Caenorhabditis elegans: one gene and its partner. The protein of the gene in region 1 purifies or fractionates together with the protein of each later gene. This does not show direct contact. Each region holds a gene or a part of one and is shown on either strand. Other genes may lie near its edges. The genes, in order: ceh-99 and nep-24.

Evidence for each region.
Region 2: the proteins of ceh-99 (region 1) and nep-24 fractionate together in Caenorhabditis elegans (co-fractionation; one large-scale study listed by BioGRID). This does not show direct contact.

The regions. Positions count from the first base shown.
Region 1 is NC_003280.10:12,518,063-12,521,986, forward strand, and holds the start of ceh-99 (Homeobox domain-containing protein), read left to right. Parts: upstream 1-1,918; 5' UTR 1,919-2,149; coding exon 2,150-2,311; intron 2,312-3,924.
Region 2 is NC_003282.8:16,922,382-16,926,305, forward strand, and holds the start of nep-24 (NEPrilysin metallopeptidase family), read left to right. Parts: upstream 1-2,010; coding exon 2,011-2,160; intron 2,161-2,204; coding exon 2,205-2,334; intron 2,335-2,381; coding exon 2,382-2,467; intron 2,468-2,511; coding exon 2,512-2,757; intron 2,758-2,808; coding exon 2,809-3,093; intron 3,094-3,459; coding exon 3,460-3,579; intron 3,580-3,622; coding exon 3,623-3,877; intron 3,878-3,922; coding exon 3,923-3,924. Other genes in the region: nep-23 (NEPrilysin metallopeptidase family), read left to right, coding at 391-645, 689-851, 896-1,143, 1,195-1,353, 1,517-1,690.

The DNA of each region.
Region 1 (3,924 bases):
AGAAAACCCGAAATCTGCAAGTCTCCACTTCCCTTCAAACCTGTACTTATTCCTATAAACTGTGAGCACAAAATATCACAAGGTGCTTTCCAACTTGTTATCACTAGTTTTATGAGTGATAGTACATTTCTGTAAAAGGCTTTTCGAAAGAAAGAGAATCAATTGCCTGTCAATTTGAAATTTAAAACATTGACATTCAAGTTTGCCGGTTTCTCGGTTTTTTTCTTCAAAATGAAAGTGTTTGAGAAAATGGTCAAAGCTGCCAACTGAGGAAAAAAAACGAGCAAGAAATATTGGAATATTGGGAAGTAAACGGAATTTAAGGAAATTGAGCAAACGGGCAAATCGGGTGAATTGGATGAAATGGCAAGTTTGGGAAAGTTGGACAAACATAAGAATTGAGAAAACTGATATATAGTGCAAATCGGGCAAGTCCGGCAAAATGGACAAAGTGGGCAAACTGAAGAGCAAGCATGTAAACTAAATAAGGTAAATGGGCAAATTAAACAAGCCAGGAAAAACAGGCTCACAGGTGAGCTGGAAAATTGATTTAACAGTGAACGCTGTAAAACTAGACGATTCGGAAAATTTGAACTCTGTAAAAAATTGCAATACTGCCGAAAAAATCTATGAAATGCAACGATTATTAAATTAAATTAAACAAAATGTCCCAAAGTTTCGGGAAAAAAGACATAAACGGCGGCAAAGGGGCCAATTTTACAGCTTTGGGAAATTGATGACAAAACTAGCTAGGACAATGATTTTTATGTGCACAATGAGCCCAATCTACATTTTCTCCCGATACCCTCAGATTTTCAATGTTTCCAGAAACTTCTTATATTCGTTCATCTAGCCCAAAATCCTTATCACTGCTACAAAAACTATTCCATTCAAAAAACGGCTGTCAGTGCTAGGCACATGCCCCTTTCTTTCTCGTACACGTCAATCAGTGCCACGTAGTCTCGACGCAGAAATCTGTCAAAATCGACCTATAAAACTGGGAGCGATGGCGCTGAGATGCTGATACTGATAAGCGAAGGGGTTTCTTTGTGGCGTTTGGTAGGAACACACAAAGAGCCCCGGAGGACAAAGAGCTCTTATCAGTGGATGCTCCGCGCCGCTCCCATTGTTCGTTTCGCTTTCAGTTCACTTATTCTGAAATTAATTTTTTTGCTGCCTATCTATATTCTGGTAAGTTTTTTTTTGCATCTGCCAAACCGCCCGTTTGGATGGTTGTGCTCTGAGGAAATACGCACAGAATGTCATTTCATCAGGCCATAGCTGTCCAAATTGGTATAGAGTTTGGAATGTTGAATCAGTTATTGGAGTTAGACAAAGGTAGAGTTTTTCATCATTTTAAAATGATATGCATACCTGACGTTCAAAAAATTGTTTGAAGCTTTTAAATTTAGCGGAAAAGTGTACACAAGAAGTTGATCCAAAAGGTCATTCCAGTCCGATTTTTGTGGACTTTTCTAGAAAATTGTGTAAAAAATACGCACAGTAATATTTTATGAAACAGTAACTAACGATAGTTAGCGTTACATGGGTTTTTGACATTGTCAAAAACTTTCGTCCAATTTCTGACAATCCTCACCACTCTTTTCACGTTGGAATTTTGATTCAAATATCTAACCTTTTACTCAAAAAAAATTGTTTTTGAATATATTAATTTTGACCTCCTAGATCACCTTTTATATATACCTCATCTTTTTTGAATTTGACCTCTTCCCGCCGTGTACACCTGGATGCAATGATGGCCGTCCGGCAATATGAAAAAGAGTGTGAAAATTGAGGAGAGTGGCAGACAAATACAACGCCAGTTTACACCGACAATATTACCGGTACAGAGAGTGTAGATAGTTAGAGAGTGACAGACATCCAGGATCCAATGGGGCGGGGCGCGCGGAAGAGACGATTTGTGTCGATTTACGAAATTTTCCTCGTTGTCATCATTTCGTAAATCGAGACAAATCGTCGTCTCTTCCGCGCGCCCCGCCCCATTGGGTCCCGGATGTCTGTCACTCTCTAACTATCAACACTCTCTGTACCGGTAATATCGACGCAGCATTTTTTTTTATTTTGTGGTATATTATTCCAAATTGTCAAAGGTAAATTATACGCCTTTATTTTTTTGTCAAATACTAGAATGGCACCTTCTTACTCGAGGAATACAAAAAATTCAAAGAAGACGGCACCGATATCTGCTGAGGAAAAACACAAGATTCTTGAAGAAGAATTTGCAAAAAGTCCGTATCGAGGACAAAGGAATTTGGAGTTGTGTGCAATGTTCAATATGACTAGGAGAAGGGTGAGTTTTTTTCCTAGAAATTTGAGAAACTTTTGTCTTATTTTTCATTGATTTTCTAATAGTAATTTTTCTAATAGTAATGTCTAAAATTAGGCCACAAATAGAACTTCTTATCTTTTTAACCGAATTTTTTGAAACGTTCTAATAATAATTTCTCTAAGAGTCGCTCAACTTCGGGCAACTTTTGTTAAACTTCTGATTTTTGAAATTTTTTAAAGTTGACAAAACCACGCGGTGTCAAGCTGTCCCATCACGGTTTGATCTACAAAAAATGCGGGAATTTTTTGCCCAATAAAATGTAACGTCAGCACGTTCTTAACCATGCAAAATCAGTTGAGAACTCTGCGTCTCTTCTCCCGAATTTTTTGTAGATCTACAGTGCTGGCCAAAAAGATATCCACTTTTGGTTTTTTGTGTGTAACTTTTTTCTCAAGCATCCATTTGACTTGAATTTTTCCGTGTGCATAAAGCGAAATGTTACGCAAATTTGCGGACCAAACATTACATGATTATCGATTTTTTCTGAATTTTATTTCAATTTTTTGATTTTTTCGTTTTTCCAATTTTCATTATTTTTTTTGAATTATCAATAAAACGCACTCTGTTTGTTGCACTGGATTTGTTTGGTTGATAAATTATTTTTAAGGTATGGTAAAATCTGTTGGGTGTAAAAATCTTTCCTTGGACGTCAAGAAAGCCATTGTAGCTGGCTTCGAACAAGGAATACCCACGAAAATGCTCGCGCTGCAAATTCAACGTTCTCCGTCGACTATTTGGAAAGTAATCAAGAAGTACCAAACTGAGGTGAGTTCGAAAAATATTATTTTTTAATAATAAATGTTTAGAAATCCGTCGCTTTGAGAATCTCGCCCGGCAGGCCTCGAGTGACAACCCATAGGATGGATCGCAACATCCTCCGATCAGCAAGAGAAGATCCGCATAGGACCGCCACGGATATTCAAATGATTATAAGTTCTCCAAATGAACCTGTACCAAGTAAACGAACTGTTCGTCGACGTTTACAGCAAGCAGGACTACACGGACGAAAGCCAGTCAAGAAACCGTTCATCAGTAAGAAAAATCGCATGGCTCGAGTTGCGTGGGCAAAAGCGCATCTTCGTTGGGGACGTCAGGAATGGGCTAAACACATCTGGTCTGACGAAAGCAAGTTCAATTTGTTCGGGAGTGATGGAAATTCCTGGGTACGTCGTCCTGTTGGCTCTAGGTACTCTCCAAAGTATCAATGCCCAACCGTTAAGCATGGAGGTGGGAGCGTCATGGTGTGGGGGTGCTTCACCAGCACTTCCATGGGCCCACTAAGGAGAATCCAAAGCATTATGGATCGTTTTCAATACGAAAACATCTTGGAAACTACAATGCGACCCTGGGCACTTCAAAATGTGGGCCGTGGCTTCGTGTTTCAGCAGGATAACGATCCTAAGCATACTTCTCTTCATGTGCGTTCCTGGTTTCAACGTCGTCGTGTGCATTTGCTCGATTGGCCAAGTCAGTCTCCGGACTTGAATCCAATAGAGCATTTGTGGGAAGAGTTGGAAAGACGTCTTGGAGGTATTCGGGCTTCAAATGCAGATGCCAAATTCAACCAGTTGGAA
Region 2 (3,924 bases), on another chromosome or scaffold:
TCATCGCATACCTTCCCCCTAATGTCGCCAGGAGTTGTCTCATGTTTCATGAATTTAGAAGCGCCCGACGTCTGCCGGGATCCGCTACAGCACAGCTAGTATTGCAGCCCGGTAGGCGTCGGCTGCTGCACAACCTCAAACGACTCGAACGAAAGACAACACGTACATTTGAAATTAGAAAAACTGCAAAACAAATCCCAAAAATTAGGTCACACCGTTTTTGGGTCGTTTTCTGGGTTGGCAACTAAATCGGGACCCCAAGCAAATAACAGCCACCGACACCTCACGGGTTCAGCGCCTACCTACATCGTGATAATCTTAGTGGGATGCGGTACCCGTGAGATGTCGGCGGATAATATTGGCTGTACAAAAAATCCTATATTTTTTTAGAAAGTCATCACATACCTTCCTCGTGCATCTCTCCGAGTCTTCATTCGCAATTACGTCGACAAAGAGAACCGAGACCTGATCACCCAGCTGGCCGAAAAAACTCGAATCGCTCTTCACACTTTGGTTCAGAACTCCACGTGGCTAAAGGCAGAATCCAAACAACTTGCTCTAGACAAAATTAATGCGATGGGAAAGATGATTGGGTATCCGGACTTTTTCGAGCCACCGGGCACTTTGGATGGCATGTTTAAAAATGTAAGTAGTGAAAACTTATGCCTAATTTACTTAATTTTTTTAGCTAAATCTCGACTCATCTGACACGTACTACACAGCTCTCAACAAGCTCGAAAGGTATTTTGTTGAACAAAAAATGGATTATTTCGCAGAAGAGACACCTCTGGATCCAGATTTACGCGTTTTTGAAATGAATGCCTACTACTATATTCCCGGAAATCAGCTGAGTAAGTACTATTGGCTTTTAACCTAATTTTCAAAGAATTTCCAGACTTCCTTGCTCCATTCTTTGATGATCCAATGTTTGACTCGACCTACCCCGATTATGTGAACATTGCCATGTCTGGGAACATAATTGGTCATGAAATGGGTCACGCATTTGGTCCACACGCAATTTTGAGAACTGTCAGAGGACGGGAAGTGTGGATGAAACCGGAAGAACTTGCAGAATACGAGAGCAGGGCGCAGTGCCTGGCAAATCAGTACAGTGAATATGATGATCCAGATTTTGGACGAGTTGTAAGTGAAACTAGGTGATCTTGAAAAATGATTTTTCAACGAGAAATTCAGTTTGACGGCGGCAAAGTGATCGATGAGCTTGTGGCGGATAATATCGGACGGGAGGTTTCTTGGAAAATGTTTAAAAGTCTTGACTTGACAAATGCGACAAGGATTATTGGATTTGAAGACTATGACATTGACCAACTGTATTTCCGTGTTGGAGCCCTGGTGAGTCCATGTCGACCAATCAGCACGCGCCCTCATCGCTGATTGGTCGACACTTTGGTACAGTGTTGTCTAGCCATTCAACAGCCGACATAAAGCGGGACCATTAGATGTCGGGTGCTTTGAAACTAATATTAGCAGTTTTTTCTGAAAGTATCTATTTCAGACACACTGCACCCCTCATGCGATGCGTGATTTGAAAGGGTCTATCGAAAGTTCTCATCCTCGGAAAGCATTCCGTGTGAATGGAGTCTATGCGAATCTTCCAGAGTTTGCCAGAGCATTCAACTGCCCGACGGGATCTCCAATGAATCCGAGAAAGAAGTGTGATATGTTCTGAACTTGTGTTTTAGGTTTTTACTAGAAATGAACTTGATTCCTCCCTGATTTCTTGTTTTAATTTATAGTAACATTCTCATCATTTTGTTCAGAAAAGAGATACCATTTAATGAATCAGCTCAGATTTCTGATCAAATACGAATGTTGATCGGTGACAACAGGTGGTTTGTCTTTTGTTTGACATGTTTGAATTGAATCATTGATACGTTACTGTTCACCAAAACATTTATTTTTTGACAAACTTTTTTTCTGTTTCATGTATTCTATTTCAGTTTGTGTCGTTTTTATATTCTTACTGCTTGTAACATATAATTTCAGATAATGAGTCTACAAAAAGCCAAGGAAAAGCTGCCAGGATTTATGCTTCTTCTTCTTCTCACCTGTACTGCTCCACTCGCCATCGGAGCAACAACTCCTGCTACCCGAAATGTCTGTAATACTCCAGCATGCATCACTCTTGCTCACATGTTGGTAAGTTCCTAGCACTCTGGTTTCCAACTATATCAAACTTCCAGCACAACTACCACGACCCATCAGTTGATCCGTGTGACAACTTCCACCAATTCGCTTGCGGGAGAGAGCATGAGCACGAAACGGAAGATATTTACACGAAAAAAACAAAAACCATCAATAATATAATGAAAAGTGAGCTTTAGCTTTTATTCTTTTCTGTAATTTAGTTCCTGTTTCAGGATTTCTAAAAAAGAACGAGACGTCAAGATCGAAGTCGGAGAATGCTATGAGAACCTTGTATAAAGCGTGTAAAACCTTGGAGAAAGTAAGTTTTTTTTCAAAATTTTAAAAGCAAAATTTAATTTTCAGAATTCCACAGCCAGTCGTAACAAAGCTCTTCAGGACATTTTCCAAGATATTCAGAGCATTGGGGCTTGGCCAGTGGTGGATGATAAGTGGGATGAGTCGAAATTCGATCTGAATGATTTCCTTGTTAATCTAGTGAGGTTGGGAAGAAAAAATTTTGGACTATTTCAAATGGCACGGTATGTAAACGTTCGAAATTTTGCTATAGGCCCAGAAGCAGCTTGGCGTCACAACGTAGATCTCGGAAAGGTTTCGGATACAATTTTATACATTTTGCACCTTAAAAATTTGAATTTTCAGACAATTTCCGAGATTCTGAAAGCTAATTCTGTTCAGACGAACAATAAGAAGCTTCTAGACGATTTGGCAGAGTATGTTAATTTGGAGAAGGCGTTAAGCCAGCACAAGTTCAACACAGTTCAACCAGGATATATTTTTTCTGAGCGATCAGATTTTGTGTCAAGTGTGAATTTTTCAAGGCTCGTCTTGGAAATGATGAGCCCCGACAAAAGAACTTTATTCCCGGAAGTGTATCAGATTATGTACCTAACCAACACCTCGCTGTTTTTTGGAAAAAATAATAATGTAAGCATTATATTTTGATAGGGCTTCCATGTAGGCGCCAAAGCGCCTGCCTCTGCCTGCCGCGCCTCTTGTATTGTGCGGCGCGAAACCCAAAAAGTGTCGGCCGCTGCAAAAGAGCCACATTTAGCACTATGTGGTGTCTTTCATTTCTTGTCATTATGAGGCGAGAGGTCGGCGGGAGGCGGGCCGGCGTCAGGCCCCCGTCCTCCGCCTGCCTCGCGCGCAGAACCCGAGAGCCACTTTTCACACTTTATTGTGTCTTTCCTATCTCGCTAAAATAAGGTGAGAGGCAGGCGTCAGACCCTGAAACCGCGCCTGCCTCCAAAGCACTATATTTCGACTCTCCGGAAGATATTCTCCTTATAGCTTGAAACAATCATTCGGAACACTTCTAAAAGAGCATTGGCCAACTACTTGATCTTCAAATTCATCGATACGTCTATCGCAGACCTGACATATGGTTCCCCATCGGCATTTTGCGAACAGGTAGAGTACTATGATTTTTTTTTCTTTCGAAAAATTTATTTAGAAAGTCATCAACTTTCTCCCTCGTGCTGCTCTTCGTGCATTCTATCGCAACTTTATAAGTAAGGAGAATCGGAAGAAAATCACCAAATTGACTGAAGCCACCCAAGTTCAACTGTTGAAGATCATCGGCGCAACTGATTGGATGAGCATTAAATCGAAGAAAATCGCGATGGATAGAGTCAGCAGTATGAATATGGTAATTGGATATCCAGACTATTTTGATCCACCGGGAAAACTGGATGGACTATTCGAACATGTGAGTAGACCTCCTAGAAATCAGGGCTTGATAATTCAATTTTAGCT